Schizosaccharomyces pombe: one gene and its partners. Changing the gene in region 2 together with the main gene of any one other region gives a genetic interaction. Each region holds a gene or a part of one and is shown on either strand. Other genes may lie near its edges.

Region 1 (5,988 bases), on a different chromosome or scaffold from region 2:
CTTATTGAACAAGATCAATGTTTAACCCTATCAATAAAATCTCGACTGAAATACAGTACTTCTATTTTCAAGATCAAAAAGAGAAAACAAACGCCCGCTTATCTCAAAAATCTAATCATCATAACAATGCTTTTTCAAAATTTAGAAACTTACCAACAGCGGCAGTAGCAAGCAAGGATCCAATAATAACTGATCGCCTCATATTTATCAAAAAATAAAAGATGATTTTTAACGACAGCTGGCTGTTAAAACAACGAGATTTCCAGACTACTTAGTGGAAATCTATAATACGTTAGGAATAGGAACGGATTACACCAAACCAAGTAGGTGAAAGATGAGAGTCTAGCAAATGATGTGCAAAGAATTAGTGAAAGAAAAAGTGTGATACCAAGAAACCAAGTTAACGATGTCTCTATTCTACTGCAGTAAAACTATATTAAGACAGTAGCTTTGCGCTCAATAACTTTTTATGGGTTTAGGATTCATTAATCAATCTTTTAATCAGTGTGAAGTATTAAAATAAAAAGTTAAGTTTCAAGCACTATGTAGGATTTTCTCAAAGTCGAGCGAGATACGTTGAAATGAGTTTAAGAATGAGTTATTACCGTTACAATAGTATTCTAGTAATTCCCATCAAAGGGACTAATCAGGCTAGTTAATAGCTATTTGTATTGTTTTCTATGTACTTCTTTGGTGACAACAAGGAAAAGTGGAAAAGTATAAGATACTTGGAAAAATTTAATCAAAATCTCAAAACTCATAATTTCAGTGAAAAGAATATAGTCGGATGTATATATCCTTCCAAAATATCGCATTTGTAAGCTTTGGAACGAGATTTAAAAGAAACAACGTAGATTGCTAAAGGGGAATATGTGAAGATCATATGTAAGCTATAAAAGTAATTTGCACAACAAAAGGCAATCTCCAAACAATCCGAGATATTTGGGTGAAGTAAAGTTTCACTGAAGAAGGTGGTAAGAAATCGTCATTACCATATTCAATTGTAGTCCAGACACCGATATGTGAAAGAAATTGGTAAGAAAAAGGAAAATGTTTGCTTTGTAACAAAACATCACTATAAATTTCTTTATAGTACTGAATACCGAGAATTTTGAATAACCAAGTAGATTTGAAATTTACGATTTTAAAAAATAAGGCTGGCATAAATAATGACTACTTCCAGCTTTTTGCAACGTCAAAAGCCCAAACAAATTCATGATGGACCACTTTATCATCATCAACAAACTTTCCATTGGCTTCATAATGTCCGCGAGCCAGCATACCTGTAGGTGCCTCATCTGGTTCAGAGGTAAAATCATAAGGTGTTTCAGAAGGTCCATAGGAGCCAATCATGGTAGATGTTTTGTCAACAACAAAGCCACGTCTGCGAACAGTTTGGACATATCTTAAGCCTGAAATTACTTCGTGTTGTACACGAAATTTAACACCAATCTTAAACTCGCTTCCTTCCTTAATAGTGAACCCTTTCTTGCGGATTTGTTCGACACTTGCTGCATCTTCCATGTTAACATCAACTGGGTCACGGCCGTCAACAAGTAAACTCAGCTTTAAAATAACAACTGTTCTACGATCATTCGAGGGTGAATAACCTGTTCCCGTGATACCCAGAGATGCTTTCCATTTCTGCAATGATTCATCTTCGGCATCCATCTTCATATATTCATTAAGTGATTTCTTTTCTCCCAGAGAAACCGGAGGTCCATGCTCAAATGTATCATCCTCTAGTTCAGGGTTATGTTGATCAGCGGATACTTCATTGTTAACACTCATTTTAAAACAACGCAATAGAATTTAATTATCTGCCAGTAGCTAAACCAAGGACAATTTGTTTTTATAAAAAAAGTTCAGATTCGTTGTTTTGTTAATGTACTGTTCTAGAGTTGAAATTGGCAAAGGGAACATAGCATATTGCTATCTCAACAATATAACCAGATGTACTACTATGTTAACATTTCGGTGACTTGGATTATTTTAAATATAACGGAGATGCAGAAAAGCGTGAGAAAAGTATAAGATTTTTTTTTTCTTTCTATTCCCTTCGATTTTTTTTTTAGTGTCATTATCCATGCTTTTATACATGTAAATATGTTGGAGTAATCCCAAGCATTGACGTCTTATGAGACGTAAAAAAGAAGGAACTTTCTATGCTAGCTTTTCTGTAGGCAGATGTTCTTTACATGAAATTGTTTGAGCAGCAAGTTATAGCTGTAGTCGATAACTATTATACAACCAGATTTGATACGTTTAGCGGAAAAATTATCAATCACTTCAGGAATTATTATTAAAAAACTTACGAAGGAAGTCCACTGAAAATAAAAATCATGTGAAAGATACGCTTAACTATACCAAACCCTAATTAATTACAAAAACGGCGGTTGGTGTTAAAGTGAAAATTAGTAAGCCAATCTGTGTGCTATTATTTTTAATACCAAGACATTCCTGGCACGGAGTTCTGCTCCCATTGTAATTTTCCTCGTAGACCACACTCTTGAAAGACAATTACTAGATTACCTTGATTAAGGTACTGTTTGTTTAATATCAACTTCTTTTTTGTTTTTAAAGATCATTTTGAAAGGGGTTTAATAGATTAGCATTTCGTTATACGATAAGGTTTTAGTCAACTACCCGATTTCTACTACCAGGAACCAGTTTCCTTGAGCTTTTACCATTTGCTAGTATAGGGTGTTTTATATATTATTCTATTTATGTTGAATTGAACCATAAGTGTCTCCTTCGCATAAATACACTAGCCTTTTTTATTCCTGTTTTATTTTAGAACACTATCCATTTGAGAGGAAAATTTGGGCAAGGTAATGGCAATGTCGTCTATCACCTCTGCTAAACAATTAAATGCCGAAGAGCTTTTAGATGAATGCGATTCTTTTAATGGGGAATTTGTTCCTGGAACAATTCCCTTCCGTGCAAATGGCGCTGCCATTGGATATGTTACCCCTTTGGTACTAGAAATCCTCATAAAGGCGGATAATTTCAAATTCAATTGGGTTTATGTTCCAGGAGAGTATATTGAAATAAACGCATCTACTTTTGAAAAAAGAACTGACATCTTAGCTAAGGTACTGGAGCATTGGCGCCATAACAATACATTTGGAATTGCTGATCAATGGAGGAATGAATTATATACTGTTTATGGAAAATCTAAAAAGCCTGTATTGGCCGTTGAACGGGGCGGATTTTGGTTATTCGGTTTTTTGAGCACTGGTGTGCATTGTACCATGTATATTCCAGCAACTAAAGAACATCCTCTTCGTATTTGGGTACCACGAAGATCACCGACTAAACAAACGTGGCCCAATTATTTAGATAATAGCGTTGCCGGCGGAATTGCTCATGGTGATTCAGTCATAGGCACTATGATAAAGGAATTTTCTGAAGAAGCTAATTTGGACGTTTCTTCTATGAATCTTATTCCTTGTGGCACTGTCTCCTACATCAAAATGGAGAAAAGGCATTGGATTCAGCCCGAGTTACAATATGTATTCGATTTACCTGTTGATGATCTTGTTATCCCAAGAATTAATGATGGAGAAGTCGCTGGTTTCAGTTTATTACCATTGAATCAAGTACTTCATGAACTTGAATTAAAAAGTTTTAAGCCAAATTGTGCTCTGGTTCTTTTAGACTTTTTAATCCGTCATGGTATCATTACTCCACAGCATCCTCAGTATCTCCAAACTTTAGAACGGATACATAGACCGTTGCCTGTTCCTGTTGGAAAATATGAAAGAGGGGATTCTTTTGAAGATACTTCAAAGAAAGCTGAAACGTGTGTTCCTGCAAAACCCCAAAAAGCCACTCATCAGCTAGCTCCATGTAAGGCTTGGTTACGTGACTATGATACTGATCAAAAGTTTGCGGTATTACTATTAAATCAACCCATAGATATACCGGATGATAGATTTCGTACTTTATGGAAAAGAGCTAGTATCCGAGTCTGCGCAGACGGTGGTGCTAACCAATTGAGAAATTACGATTCTTCGCTCAAACCGGATTATGTCGTTGGTGACTTTGATTCGTTAACAGATGAAACTAAAGCTTATTATAAAGAAATGGGAGTCAACATTGTATTCGACCCATGCCAAAACACCACTGACTTTATGAAATGCCATAAAATAATTAAAGAACATGGGATTGATACTATTTTTGTATTATGTGGCATGGGTGGAAGAGTTGATCATGCCATTGGTAATTTAAACCATCTATTCTGGGCCGCCTCGATTTCTGAAAAGAATGAAGTATTTCTATTAACTGAATTGAATGTATCAACTTTGCTTCAACCCGGAATAAATCATGTTGATTGTCACGACAACATTGGTTTACATTGCGGTCTTCTGCCAGTAGGACAGAGTGTGTATGTTAAAAAAACCAGCGGCCTTGAGTGGAATATTGAGGATCGCATTTGTCAATTTGGAGGACTCGTCAGCTCTTGCAATGTAGTGACAAAAGCAACGGTGACTATAGAGGTCAACAATTTTATAGTATGGACAATGGAAACACGTCTATAAGACCTGTAAGTAAGAAACTCAGAAAGAATATTCATTATTCCCAACAGCTCAAAAAAATTAAGATATTTATTTAGATATAAAAAATATAAAACATCTATAGAGTATAAGCGGTAATGGTCATAAAGCAAAAAGATAATTGATTAGAGTAATGAAATAAAATAGAATTTTAGTAAAGCCAACTAACATTTTGAACTGCAAGATACATCTCAGAAAGTGAAGAAATAGAAAAAAATCATAATTTTTCATATTGTTGAGCTTGACATGTCATTTTTATCCTCCTCGATACACCCGACAGTTCAGAATCCAAGCTGGACAATTAAAGGTATTTGAATGTATAACCCTAAAACCCATCACAAATACCATAGCTACTACGCTAATGTTGATATACAAAAATTATACATAGTTAAGAGATCGTATACATATTTATACTCATTAACTACTCTGAGGATGACTGCTAAAGTGACTGTCTTTTAGAACACCTACCCTGAAGAAAACGAATGTATCCAGAATAAATCATATGTAGGAGGACATCGGGAAAAGAGGGGGGTAGGAACAAGAACCGAATCAAATAATATAGTTAGAAATAAAAAAAAGTCTACACTTCATCAACGTTATCATCCCAATCATTATCACGCATGCTTCTGGGAGCGTAGTCTTGCAATCCTGCTACGTAGTTTGCACCACAGTAGGCGATACCTGCAAGAAGAACTAAAAAGCCTAGGAAAGAAGTAAACCCGGAGTAAGAAAAGAGTAAAGTACCCATGAAAGCGTAGAAGAAGCCCCTTCCTAAGAATGAGAACATGAACGATCCATATTTAATAGCAATAGGAGGAATTTCCTTTTCTAAACCAATAGTTCCCAAACCGAAAACGATGATGAACAATGCAAGTAAAGCGTTTACGAAGCTAAATGAAAATAACTTGATAAATCCGCTTAAAACGAAGATACCACCTACGCCCAAATTAATGGCACTAAACATTTTTGTTTTATCCATTGTGAATTAAGTGTATGCAACCAATATTAAATTTTTCAAGCAATATGTATTTTAGTCGATGTTTGCTTAAAGACAAAGAGAAATGCAAGTTACTAAGCCTGCCTATGCTTACCGATGCGGTCATGCATATTTACGAACTATTGAAATACGGTAAATAAAAATAACGAATTCCATAATTCTCAACCAACTTTTTGTTGTTTACAGAAAATGAATAATTCAATTCATCGAAAATGCATTTTGTTTTCTATAGCATTCTTTGTACTGTTTTTGAAGTTAAAAACACTATCATTTAGTAAATAATGTACTTTCGACCCGGCTTTTTTTTGAGACAACTGTTGTTGACAATTTTAAGGTCTGTGGGTCAATTTATATATTTGTCAAACGTTCGTAAACAAATGTATTTGTATCTTAGTTTCATACGAGCTCCTTTAGCTATATGTGATCTACTCT
Region 2 (8,524 bases):
GTCACGTTATCATAGAATAAGGAAGAAGAAGTCAGAACGGGATAAATTGATCACGAATCTTCCTTACCAACTCATCTACTATCTCGACATAATTGTGCTATATTCCACTAAATTTCGTTAAATTCTCTATCGCAATCAAAGGAACATCAGCACTAAAAAGAACTCCTCAGGGGGGGCGGATAACTTTACCCTCTACCAACAACAACCAACCAAGGTTCTGTTTTCTGCTACATTTCTGGGTTCAACATGAGAAAATTTGCTTAACAAAATATTAATACACACACGATCTAAGTGAATTGCTACGAAATTCTAATTCTCCCAAAGTATTCAACGCGAAACCACTGTTTTCATACCCGCCATCCTCTTCGAACAGCCAGGCCGACTTTTCTTCCCTCTACTAGGTTATTTCGTTGCCGAAGTATTCCGCCAATCTCTTTTTGAAACCTGTTTCTTGTACAGGTGTTGGCTTTCTAGAGATTGAGTGTTTACTGGAATTTGTTTTTGTTTTCTTACTATCTTTCCTCTTCTTCCCCAGGTGTGTACTGTGAAGAACAAATAGAGTATATATATATTTCTGTATTTATATTCATATCTATATTATTTGTTCAACTTTCAAAGAACGACCTGTTTGAGTCTATTAAAGGAGAATTTAAGAAAACTGTGAATTTTAGGTATCATTCGACCGACATTAAGTTATCATCTGCTCGACCTCTCAAACTTTGATTAAAGAAGAAAAGTTCGGAATCGAAAGTGTGTGTGATTATGAAGCTGCTTCAAAAGAAAGGTTATAAAGTTGAGCGCCCTCTGAATAAGGGATCGTATGGCACTGTAGTATTAGCCCATCGTCTTTTTCGGACTCCCCGTTGCAAGGATTTGAAGTATGCCATTAAGTGCATCAAAAAACCTGCTTATACCTTTTTGCAAGAAGTCAATATCTTGCGCCAGCTATCGCGGTCTCGACACCGCAACATCATTCATTTCGTTGAATCTTTTGAAGACAATGTATACTATTATGTCGTGCTCGAATATTGCCCTCTTGGTGATTTATACGAGTGCATCTTGAATAATGATTTTCCAAATGCAAAGAACCAACCTGAAATGATTAAGAATATTTTTCTTCAAATCATTGATGGTGTTGCACATTTGCATTCTCATGGTATCTACCATCGTGACTTAAAGCCAGAAAACTTTCTTCTTTCTCTTTCAGAAGATGGATCTGAGCTTGTGGTCAAGATCAGTGATTTTGGACTTGCTTGCAGGGACAAAATATCTTATGACTTTGGAACTGGCAGTGACCGTTACATGGCTCCTGAACAGTTTGAGGAAGTTGATGGTGCTGGTTACAGCCCTCGTGCAGCGGATATATGGGCTCTTGGTATTTGCCTTTTAAACTTAATTTTTGCACGTAATCCTTTTACCTATCCACACGAAAAGGATCCTATATTTGCTGATTACATGTTGGACGCAATGACCTTATTTGACGTTTTCCCTACGTTGAGTCAAGATACATATAACGTCTTGCGAGCATGCCTTTGTGTGAGTCCAGAGAAACGTTCTCTCGCCAAAACGAGGGAAGCCGTACTCGCGGTTACCAAGTGGACGACAGATGATGAGGAATTGGAAAGCTTCGTTAATGAAGAAGAAGAATTTCGCGCATCCGATTTCATGCCTGCTGAGGACAACGTTCGTTGTACTCAATCAGATCGCGAACCGTTACGTACTCCATCTGTTTTGACACCCGCTAACACCATACAGCGTGGTCTTCTTCCTTCAAAGTTGCCAGCTTTGTCTGACGTTGATGAGAACATTTCAACCTCGTCGTCTCCTCGGAGCCCTGCATCTTTGGCTCCAGTCAACAATAGCGAACGTTCCTATGATTCTGGACTTGGTGAAAGTCTCAATAATATGCATATTGGAAAATCCATTGCAACAGCAGTACCCGTTAATACGAAACGTTCTCCCTATTCTTGCAGTGCACCAGCTATCGTATTTCCTAACAGTATTAAAGGAAACAAGGATCATCTTAAATTTGGCCGCAGTTGGTGTGATATGGATGAAGAAGATGAGGAAGACATTGTTAGCTTCGGCTCTAACGATGACTTTGGTGCTTCTGACGAACTTTCGTCTAAGCACATTGGACTTGCTGACGACTGGAATGTTCTATCCCAGTGGAATGATAACTCATAAACGATAACTTGTTTTTTGCGCTTTCTTTCCAAGCTTGGTAAGAGCTACGTTTAAAGTAGTAAATTGCATTACTTGTCCTTTGGAATCTGTATGTTAATTGAGGGTCATATATATGCTTACGTTTTTCTTTTTTTTTTTTACATATGAAAATACCTTCTATATACGCATTCTATTATTAGTTAGACTTGATCCTTTTAGTATGCAACGACCACACATGCCTTATTTATAATAATAAAATTATTCATTTCATATTAAAATCTTGAGTTTGTATTCTCCTTATAATTTGTAATAAGCGGTATAAATTAAAGGAAAGAATGAAAAAGGTGTTGGTAATTCTATAGTAAATATGGATGGCATTTATTAGATTATGAATCCAAACTGTTCGAGACAGCGAAAGTTCCGCAAAGGTGGATAATGTCATATGTTGATAAAATATGCATGCATTAAATGATAATAAAAATATAACGAGTGAGTTACAAACACGGTTGGTTGTAAGATAGGAAAAAACGATTAGGCTCTCTGGATATCTACTGATATTTCCCATTTGGGTTGAACACCAGCACCAAATATGCTTCCTACTGTTTTTTGTATAATCCTTATAATATCTTCACGAACTGCTGCCTGCTCTCGTTCACCTCCTGAAACGGTTAAGCCAATATTAGCAATACAAGTATTATAATGAGGTTGCCAAATGGCAGCATAATTAAGTTGGTCAATTCGTGTATCCTCTTTTATAAGGGAGACGCATTCAAAGACCTTTTCTTTATTAGAGTATGTCAACAAGAGCATTAAGGCAAGCGATTTGGCAATGGAGAACCCATTCACCAGGGCAGTAACAGCAATAGTTAAGGAAAGCAAATGGCTGAGAAATGAACCAACTTGATAACCAAGACTTAACAGCAACACGAGGATGAGTGAAGGTACTAATGTGAGTCCATGGAAAAAGCGAGAATTGAGTTCTCGTATGTGAGCACTAGGGTGATCCAACAATAATGCAAATCCCGATATTATAGCCGAAGCAAACAATGAAATGGTTAAATGAATGTGTACAGTCTCTTCTTCATGATCGCCAGCATGATGGAGATTACCCCAATCTTCTATAGCATGTTCGGCAGGCTCTTTTAGGAGGTTCATGCCGAGGAAGATTAAGAGGATTGAGAAGGAAAAATCAACAAGTAATTCCATTTGTTGCATTCCAAATGGGTAACGTAAACACGTGTGTCGCCAGACGAGGAACGAATCCAATGTTTCACGCCAAACGTTGATAATGATTAAAACACCTTCTACGATTAAAGAGCAAGATAAAGTGAGTAGGATAGTAGCATCCCCCGAGAGTAATACCCCTACGGCGACCAAAAAGAATAGGATTGAGCTTGTCAATTTTAGTTTTTGAGGAAAAGTAAGGATTGCGAATGTTTCTTTAAAAGTAGGAATGGGATAACTGGCAGGTATCTCTAACGGCTGTCGATTCTTGGGTGGTAAGAAATATTGATGCGAAAGCGAATGTTTGTGATGATGGCCTTTTCTGTGGGTAGGGCGAGTATCCACGCTTAACAAGTTGGGATTATTCGCACTCGGTTTTGGTAACTGATCACTAATAGTTACAGAGACATTATTATTTATAGGGTTTTGAATCTGAATAGCAGTCGGGATGTTATGATTTTGAGTCATTTTTCATTCATTTAGATATACTTTCAACAATTCTATAATGGCTTTTTTAAAAACTCACTCACCCATGCGTTTGGTGGAGTGGATGGGTAAGACCAGTTGGTACTAGGCCCAAATTGCAACAGTCTAAGATAAAGATATTGACTGTATCAGTAAATGATTATAAAAAGCCATAGTGTTGTACCATCTTTGAGACATCTACTTTTTAGTGACTAGGAATAAAAAACGCTTAGTAGAAAACGGTTAAAGATGAACAAACTTACCTTTCAGAGCCATCGTGGAACGCCATATATATAGGGTTCAAACATGCGGCTCAAAGTCATCCATACAAGGATATTATGAGTAATTTTTTTAATTCGTTTAATTAAAAATAAAATCATCATTAAGTTATAAAAAAAAGGCCACTCCAAGGGCCTGAATTCTCCTTCTACGACTTTTCCACATGTACTCGATAAGACAATAAATACACTTGGTAAAATAATAAAAATAATTATGTGTAGGTAAATAACATTACGCAGAGGTTCCTAGCTGAGTTCCATCAACTATTTTACCTACTTCTTCCATTTCTCTTCCAAATACCAACTATTGTATTCACAAGTGAGTTCTTATTACCTGAAGGAAGCATCTATACATATTAAAAAAAAGGTTTTCGGTTACAATGTCTGCGTCTGTTAGAGGGAATTCTAAAAATCCTCAATCCACATCTGCGATCACGACTTTGGTGCGTTTAAGATTAGTCTTTCTTTTTTTTTAATGATCTAACCTTGTTTACTTTTAGACTGATAAGTTATTGGAGGATATTGTAAGAAGAAGAATTGTGCTTAGTTAATCATTCTAACAGATTTTTATAGTCTGGCGACTTTGAGACCCTACAAAAGCAATTCTCTGAGAAATGTACGATTCTCTAATTTATAATGAAAGATTTTGCTTTACTAATCATAACTTTTTATGTTAACAGTGGAAACGATGTCAACTCGTTTAGATCAACTTGAAGAATCCATGCGTGAGGCCATGAACAAAAAGTCTTCTGTCTCACCGGTCACATCGACCGAGTGAACAAGATTCACCGCATAAGATTTTCAAAGCTTTCTATTTGAAGTGAGCATACAGCTTGTTTGACGTGGTGGATTGGGGATTGTGCTAGATTTGCTCTATTTTATTAAGAATAACCTCTGTTTGTCTTGCTCTGTCTATTTATTTTCAATTGTATTTCTAAGTCTCGATTGTTTGTCTTTTTCAATTGTTTACATGTTCGTACGAGAAAATTCAAATCATTTATTTTTTGTACATTTATTTTTACCTGTTAGTTCTATTGTACATTTTATATTGTTTCTTGTTTTGATTATCTAGCAAGGCCAAAGCAAGCATATACAACCCACCACAGACAATCAAACTACTTAAAACTAAAGCTACATTACATTTTCTATATCCATCGCATTCAATTTCTTTACTCGTATAAACAAAGAATCTCATTAATAAATTACGAACAATTCGCAGTACTTTCCATCATAAAGAACCAACCTTTAAAGGATGACAACTTTCCCCTCAAAAAGTTGTCGTCCCTTTTTTTCAAATAAGAACCATACAATAAAAACCTTTTTTCATAACGGATTCACGAGATAATGAAGGTTACGTCCAAAAATTTTGATATTGCAAGTATTCCCTTTACTTGTTGGACATACCCAAGGCATGACGAACATTGTTCATCAAGCCATGACCGCTGCTGGTGCTGCTTCTACGTTCCTTGCGGGAACTTTTGCTTTCAGATTTGCCCAAACCGGTGGTACCCTTGTCGCTATCCGAAGAAGCAGAAGAAACATCATCACGTACAGCAGTAGATTTGGCAGCCTTGGGCTTTTTAGTGGTAGTAGTAGCAGCAGCATTTGTGGAAGCTGAAGTAGGCAAGGTGCTGGGAGTAGATTCAACAGCCTTTGTCGTACTAGGAGTTTTAGTGGCACCGCCAACATAAGCAGGAGTGGTGGCAGAGCGGGCTGCTTTGCTTGAAACAGTCTCAGTGGTGGCAGGATAGTGATAGGCGGCGGACTTGCTCTTAGTACTAACATCAGTAGGTTCATTAGTGGTAACGGCGTGTGGATGAACGGGTTCGGTGGTATACAATTTGCTACCCTTAACACTGTTGTACTCGCTCTCCACCTTGCTTTGTTCAGCTTGAGCATCGCGTAGGGCTCTGCGTGCAACCTCTACGTCGTTGACATACTGGGATGGCTCGGCAGTGCGCAAGTCAGTCAATTTGCTTTCCTCGAGAGTCAAACGCTCCTGTGCCCGTTGAATGGCAGAGCTATAGTCGAGGTTGGCGGGTTGAGGAGGATGAGAGCGTTTAGCGTTAAGGTCTTGAGTGATGCTTTCGGCCTTGCTATACAAGTCCTTGGCCTCATTTTCCTTAGCTCTAGCAGCCTCGGCAATGGTTTCATTGCGCTTCTCAGCGGCCTTGACGGCATCATAGGCTTGAGTGGCACAACGAGTGATTTCCTCTTCACGTTGATGACAGCTGATGCGATACTTCTCTTCGGCATCCTCAGCGTCACGGACCTTCTTGGTGAGCATGGCGAGCTGTTGACGAGAATCAACGTCAAACTGGTTCACTCTCAACTTGGCGGCGTTGAAGCGATCTTGAAGCGGCCTGGAGTGCGCGAGTGGCATCGTCCAATTCGCGATCGCAAGCCTCCTTTTGAGAGGGAAGACCCTTTTGATAGCTAGCAAGCTCGGCCTTGGTCTTTTCGACGCTGCTTCTGTAAACGTCGATTTCCGAGTTAATCTCGCGCTTCACCACTTCGACCTGCTCAGTGGCATTGCGGCTTCTCATCCTAGCATCCTTCAAGGTGTCTTCCATGTGCACCTCAAGGTTTCTAGCCTCGGCCTCGCGAATCGATGCGGTACGCAAGGTGTTGTCGTTGCGCTCCTCCAACTCGGCGACAAGGGCATTATACTCGTAGTGCTCCTTCTTGTAGGTGGCATCGGCAACAGCGGCTTCATGTCTGGCACGCTCCAATTCCGCACGGGCACTGTCGATGACGGCCTTTTGATGGGCAAGAGAGCTCTCTCTCTCAGCCTTCCAAGCCGCCTCGTTCTTCAAAGCAATGTCGAGCTTGGAGTTGGCAACATCGACATCGGCATTGGCTTGAGCCAAACGGTGCTTCAACTCGGCCTCGCGCAAGGCGGTAGCCGCACGTTCGGCCTCCTCACGAGCTTGCTTTTCGCGAAGAGAGGCGCTACGCTCAATGGAGGACTGGGCTTCGCGAGCACGCTCAGAAGCGAGTTCGGCGTCTTGAGCAGCCTTCTTGGCACGGGCCTCAAGCTCGAGGGCCTCCGAGGTGGAGCGGTCGTTGTATTGGCGGGCACGTTGAAGCTCCTCCTCAGCTTCACGGGCCTCACGAAGAGCGACCTGTCTTTGTTCGAGCAAGTCTTGGAGGGTCTTTTCGTCGGGTTGGATGCGGGCATTGGTGGTGGTGACGATACGGATGGGAGCACCGGTCAAGGCATCCACGTTGTTTTGGGTAGCGGTGATCTTGACGTTGGTATAGTTGGAGGAACGGCTAGATTGGGAGGAAAGGGGTTGAGCGCCCTCGTAAGTGGAAGTAGTGTCTTTAGAGGCGTAGCCACCGGTTTGAGTGCTGGGAGGAGAGACGTTGGAAGTGTCGACGGCGGCACGTTGAGGAGCGGCGTAGGCAGTACGCTCTGAAGAGGTAGCGCCAATGTCGGCATTGCCAGAAGGTTTTTGCTAGAGGCATAGCTACTGTCGCCGTCATTAGCGGTGTTGCCGGCGGTGTAGCTACCGGGAACGGGATTGCCCATAACATCTCTAGCGGTTTTGCTGCTAGATTGACCGGCATTCTTTATGCCCTGTTTAGCAGATTGGGCGGTTTCCTTAGCGCCGATTTTCATGTTTTGCATTGATTCGTTAATAGTTCCAACCATGATGATGAAGAATAGAAGAATGTAAGAGAATCAAAAGTGTTGTTGATAAATAAGAAGGGGATTTTTAAACGTAAAAGCGTTAAAAACGTGATAAAGAGTTAAATAAATAAATAAATAACAAGTTCGTTAAAACAATTGAAACGTAGAGACAAGAGAGATCACTTGGGGGAAAGAGAAATCGAAAACTTGTCGAGAGTCGTAAAAAAGAAAAGAGTCGTTAAAAAACAAACGTAACAAACAAATAATTAATATTGATAATAAATCGGGTTATATATCAATATATATTATATATATATATATATAGATAGATAGAATGTGTGTAATTGATATATAATATAAATAATAAGAGAAATTAGATATAGAGAGTATCAATCACAGAGACCTTGAACACAAAAAAAAGGAGATGAAAATGTGTTTTTTTTAGGGGTACAAACAGTAAATCAAGGAAGGAAACGAGGAAGAATTGAATAAATACAAAAATTCACTCAGTCAGTCAGTAGAAGTACTAGTAACAATAGTAGTATGTTAAGACTAGTAAAAAAATAAAATAAAAAGACAAAGACAAAAAAAGGCGAGGGGGTGCAAACTTTTTGACTATGACTTTTATGTATAGGAGAGAATTATAACAAGACTATGTAGTAGAGGGTAGAAGAATAGTCGTGTTATGAGGGCTGAATGAAAAAAGAAAAATTAAAATAGTATAGTATAGTATAGTATAAGAGTATGAGAAATC
Region 3 (5,623 bases), on a different chromosome or scaffold from region 2:
CACAAACAAAAAACAAGGAAGCATATCGTCGGTAAACAATTTTTTCGCCTAAGACAAATACAGTTAATTCATATTTTGAATAAAAATACCAATTTTTTTACCTTTATATTCAACAAAATTGCACATTTTTGGTTTTCGTGTAATCACCAGTGAAGAAACATCACGGATTATTTTGGCTCTCTCCTTGATTGACAAAGTATTGAACCATTTAGCTAAACGCACCTTTCCCTGGCGGCTTACGAGTAGAAAGAACTTTATAGACATCTTATAAAAGCTTATTAAATGCTTATACGCTGCTTTAAAGGGGATTGACACTATAAGGTAAACGATGTTTCAATTCGTAACCGCTATGGACGAAAGCTCATAAAGGTTACAAAAAAAAGGTAATAAATAATCAGAAACAAAACAGTTATCTAACGTTGACTGCCAAGATTGACTTAACGCTCACTATTGCTTGGTGTTGATAGCGGTAGTTAGGTAGTGCGTGTGCCAACTCTAAAGCAACTAAATACATAGGGCATCGGCAAAAGGTCCATAGACTAATTAAACCATATGAAGGATACCATAAAGACTAAACAATAAATGAAAGATTTTTTATAAAAAATTTTCTAGAGACTAGTATTTAGAACATCATCCTATCATGGTACGTTTACGGCCACGCATTCGTACTTCTTCAAATCTTCGAAGTGTTGCCTTAGATTGTTTCCAACTTTGGGCATAAGAGTCTAAAACATGATGAAACTTCAAACAGTTAGAATTTAAGTGCTTTAAGTCTAATAGTTAACATACCAAAGATTCGCTTTCTGGTAAAGTACTTGATAAAGCTCTCTCTAGGACGTAAATATCCACAGCTTTATCTTCCTCAGATTCGGAAACGCTTCCTAAACCGAAATCAATAAAAATTGGGACCGGATTGTTGTGAGACTCCAGCATCATATTACTAGTTGTCAAATCTCCATGAACGATATCATTCTTATGCATCTTCGCAACTTCTGATCCTATTCGCTTCATTAAAGGAATAAGTTTTTTTTCAATCTCACATTCGCAGATCTCTCGAATATAATCTCGTACACAAGGTCCATCAATCCATTCCATATATATTTGACCACGATTGGCATCTATAAAGTACAGCATGGGACATTTTATTCCAACGTAATGACATTTTGCTAAAAGTCTTGCTTCCACTAAGCAGCGTTTTCTTGATAATTTCTGATCTAAAATAGGATGTCTCCATCGTTTCGCAGGTCGGCACTTCAAAAGACAAACCTCACCTGGATAAAACTCGGTTTTTATCGTGATTGCTTCTGCACCTTGCTTTACCACAGTTAATTTCTTTTCCTTTATTTCACGATATATATCAGAACATCTTTGCCTAAGGTCAGGTTTTTCTGACATTTTAGAGTTATGTAAATGAAGATGGGATTTGGAATGATAATATGCGTTAGAGATCCGAAAATGTCACAAATTTAAACTGTCTTTAGAAAATTATCGTAAGAACTGTCAAATACTAATAAATATTTTTTAGACTTAAATTGATTAATTTCTGTTATTTACCCACGATTTAAATGTAATACAAAAATTAATTGAGTTATCCAAGAAAAATTACAGCATAAAGTTGACACTTCATTTAATATCATAGCCTTATATGTTCGTTTTTTTTTTTAATTCAGTTTATTAGTGTCTGCTGCATATCAAATCAAGTCTGGTTTTACAGAATCAATATGCTGATTTAATGTTAATGTTAATAACTTAAGAGTATTTAATTTAATAATTAAATGTATGATTTTAAGGGTTCATCACTTGAAAACACGTAAATTTGTTTGTTCAGAAAACCAACACAAACTCGATAGTGTCTATACAGGAAGACGTTTTCTAGATGCATTGCTTGTTCTTCATTCAATACACTTAACTCCGTAGGAGCTATATTTGTAATTTCTTCCAAAAGCTTTTGACTAAATTTTGGGTTTTTAACACTTCCAGTTTCATCGACAATTATGCTTATTAAATCTGCAAATCTCAAACCTGTCAAATCATTGCCATAAACTAATCCCCCTTCTTTTGTTAAATCTTTAATTTTACTTTGCATTATTAAAACGCCAACCTGCCCAAAAGCTTCTCCAGATTGGCTGGCTATTTTTTCAAGAGCCTCTAGGGTGCTCAATCTATAAGCATTTATCTTAATAAGTTCTTTTCTTTTGATTGAAAAATTTAATAGTTTCAAAACTTTACCATCAAATGACTGAAGTGTTTGAATTATTGCATCTTTAATTGACAATTCCAGCATTCCGGTATTGGTTCGGTAGGCAATTGCATTATGAATCAACAAAACTAAAAATTTTGGTGAGTAGGTACATACCTGAATAGAAATCTTTACATACTTGTTTCATTGTTCCAACTGAGAGCGGATTTAACTTGGGACTCTCCTATCAACACGATCATGGCTGATCCAGAAATATCGTGTACGTGTATCGTTTGTTTAGGTAGAGATTTTTTTGTTTCATTATTAAATATCTCGAATTCTTCTTTCCACTGTATTGCAACTAATACATTGACGAACGCCCCATCTTTAAAGTCATTCACTAGTGACAGCGGAACAATATTGTCGCTACCAAACCCAGGACATGGTATTTGCTCTGGTTCAGAAATTGTAGCTTCAATCTTGCTTTCCAAATTTTTGGAATGAATCTGTAGTTTCCAAGCTCTTATCCCAGAAACACGACAGACTACGTCGCTATAGACGAAAACTGAAATGCCGAGTTGTAACTGTCTCAGCATTTCAAATTTTGGCGAATACTTGGATAAACTATAGTTCAATTCAACAATTCCAGTATCATCCATAAGTTTAAACATATAACAAACCTCGTTGGATGAGACACGCTTATTTTTTAAATTAACTATCTTTCCCTTAAAATAGTATCTAAATGTACTTGTCCCTAACTCGTTAATTTTTTTGAATTCATACAATTTCCAATTGATAAACTCAGATAAGTAAACTTCCATTTTTATCTGTAATTTGTGGTGGTTTGCTTTATTTCTTTGGATGCATGAAATACGCGGTAATGAAGTGAGCTAATTTAAATACTAAACATATATACTGAGGCAGTTGAAAAAAATCAAAGAACTTTTTATTTGAGTTGTTCGTCAATAGAAGGAAAAGCTCAACAAATGTAATAAACAATCTAGCTTTAAGAGCATTGAAAATTCATTCTTAAAAAGAAACTGAGAAACCAGCTTAAGACATATTACTTAAGCACTAATTTGCAAAAAAAAAAATACAAAAAGGTTGAGAGTGTTACCACAAGAGCTAAGACTGGAAATAGTAGACATTAAAAGCATGGTTCAAATTCATGTCTATTAAAAGGGTCAACGATGTTAACCCTCACAAGAATGAGTACAGCAGCTTTAATAATTTAGTTTTCAAAGACCAAGGAGTTTTTGGTATTCATTAAAAAAGATTTAACTCTTCAAACTCCAAAAAACTGCACGTAAACACGAAGAGTAGCCATTTATAAAGAGGAAGCAGTTAAAACCATAATTGGCGAAAAGTGTGAAAATGCTTGAATCGCACCATTATGAATCTGGTAAGTCAAGTAAATGTCCCATTTTCTCAATTTTAGTTTTGAGATAAAGGACTACTTCAGCACTTTCAATTCCCTTTTCACCTCTCCATGACTTGGGTATCATTGAAATCCGTTCTACTACACGAACTTCTTTATTTGGGCCTTCAATGCTATTAACCTTTTCAGGATTATTCGTCAAAAGTCTGATATCACGCTGACCAAGATCCATCAACATAGCAGTAGCAACTGCATACGATCTTCCATCTGCTGGATGTTGAAGCAGTAAATTGGCTTGGACGGTGTCGTTTCCTAAATCCTGAAGATTATAAGCCTTGAGTTTCTCGGACAAACCAATTCCGCGACCTTCTTGACGAAGATATATTATGACACCATTCCCTTCTTCACTAATTAAACGGGCTGCTTCATCAAGTTGTTCACCACAATCACAACGAGCCGACCAAGCAGTTTCACCGGTATAGCACTCGGAATGAATTCGAACCAGCGGTACAAAATTAGTCTTCCGTGCTTCTTCTTTCTGCTCTTCGGTAGTTTTTGAAGAGTTAACATCAATATAAGAGCTTTTACGGCCAGGATAAAGTGTCCCCACGTATGCGCCTCGTACCATACGGTCCATTTCTGTTTCGCCTTCTTGCACAGCATCAAGACTATCTGAGCGAATTTGTTGACCAAAAACAATTGCTAAATGCTCTTTATTATCAAAATCGTTTTTGTATAAATGGAGGAAAATCTCCGTCCCCTTAACTGTAGGAATTCTTGCTCTAACAACGCATCGAACCTTTGGAAGCCTTTCAGCAGTACCGACAACGTTGGGTTTAGGCTCAATATCAAGCGCAGGACTTAACATAGGCGAATTTACACATTGTACATCGTCAATTGGCAGACGTTTTTCAGAAGCAACATTTTCAGGAAGACTTAAATCCTGGAGCAATGTTTTGTCATGATGCACTTGATCGCCCTCTTTTTTATCCATTTATAGTAAATTATTAGGATAAAAAAGTACTAATATGGATGTTAAAAAGAAGATGTGGGTTAATGGTGATCTGTCATTAACCACGCTTGTGAAGGCTGAAACCTGTTGTCTGGAAAGTGTACGAATAGCTTACTAAGAAATTTCAAAATTGGCACTCATTCTACAAATCACCTTTATTTACTTCCGTCTTTACTAATCTTCTTTTTTTTTACTAATTATTGTTTAATTTGTGGGAAAATACAACATTTACAGCACTACCTTAAGTATGCAAATACAACAGGTTATCAACAATTATTTGGAATATTTACAGTACTTTTTGATTAAAATATTAAAATGGTTTCAAACAGGATATCATAGGATGCAAATTATGTTTACAAACGCATAACGTAGAAATTTTGCTGCATTGTGAAAATGCAGTAAATATCTTTTTAAAGAATGACTTCAGCAAATATTATCAAAACTACATTCAATGCTCAAGCAAAGCTCTTAACTTATCTAACTGGATACGAATTAGCTTAGCAAACTGTGATGTTTTAGTTTCTTTCGTAAGCTGATCCGATTCTAATTCTTTTGGTATACCAATCACGTCAATAGCGTATTCCTGCTCATACAGACTAGCGGGTATAGCCAAACTTGATAAAAAATTTGGATGTGAAATCAAATAGTCGATGCCTCCAGCATCTCAATCTTCAATTCAGCAAGTCTAATTTCTTGTAGTAATGCGGGATTAAATTGTTGCAAAAGATCGAACAGTAGCACTATCATAAAAGATTCATCGATGGAGGCTAACGAAATTGAGGAAGGAGGTTGACACCAATTTAATAAAGCGTACTGAATTTGAGGAAATGCTAATAAAACAAATTCCCTCATATCGTTCATGATCCTGTTGCCTAAAAATTTAACAATATTAAATAAAAGGGGCAATATTCCACGAATCCAGATTTTGTATTGAATCGATGAACCATCGAGTCCTAACCCACCAGTGCTTAAAGCCGTACTTAATGGACTTTCCATAATTGAGTAAAAAAACCCATTCATAACGATTTGTTCAGCACCTGCTGGTGATGAAGAA

What was found.
Region 1: mutations in zrg17 (region 2) and rdi1 together harm fitness more than expected from each alone (negative genetic interaction), as found in Schizosaccharomyces pombe (one large-scale study listed by BioGRID).
Region 3: mutations in zrg17 (region 2) and bud32 together harm fitness more than expected from each alone (negative genetic interaction), as found in Schizosaccharomyces pombe (one large-scale study listed by BioGRID).

The regions. Positions count from the first base shown.
Region 1 is NC_003424.3:1,315,649-1,321,636, reverse strand, and holds rdi1 (Rho GDP dissociation inhibitor Rdi1), read right to left. Parts: upstream 1,913-5,988; 5' UTR 1,792-1,912; coding exon 1,174-1,791; 3' UTR 501-1,173; downstream 1-500. Other genes in the region: TOM complex subunit Tom20, read right to left, coding at 154-202; tnr3 (thiamine diphosphokinase Tnr3/ Nudix hydrolase fusion protein), read left to right, coding at 2,835-4,544; tvp15 (COPI-coated vesicle-associated protein), read right to left, coding at 5,140-5,538.
Region 2 is NC_003423.3:1,942,465-1,950,988, forward strand, and holds zrg17 (Golgi zinc importer, CDF family, Zrg17), read right to left. Parts: upstream 3,943-8,524; 5' UTR 3,859-3,942; coding exon 2,698-3,858; 3' UTR 2,473-2,697; downstream 1-2,472. Other genes in the region: serine/threonine protein kinase Ksp1, read left to right, coding at 763-2,187; SPOM_SPBC16E9.15 (uncharacterized protein), read left to right, coding at 4,514-4,576, 4,634-4,657, 4,707-4,749, 4,814-4,911. UniProt on the Schizosaccharomyces pombe protein: Probable transporter involved in the regulation of zinc homeostasis.
Region 3 is NC_003424.3:1,619,868-1,625,490, forward strand, and holds bud32 (serine/threonine protein kinase), read right to left. Parts: upstream 1,426-5,623; 5' UTR 1,396-1,425; coding exon 790-1,395; exon of another isoform or gene 742-789; coding exon 631-741; 3' UTR 501-630; downstream 1-500. Other genes in the region: vas2 (AP-1 adaptor complex sigma subunit Aps1), read right to left, coding at 1-48, 102-264; protein meu32, read right to left, coding at 1,772-2,328, 2,379-3,000; rib1 (GTP cyclohydrolase), read right to left, coding at 3,571-4,551.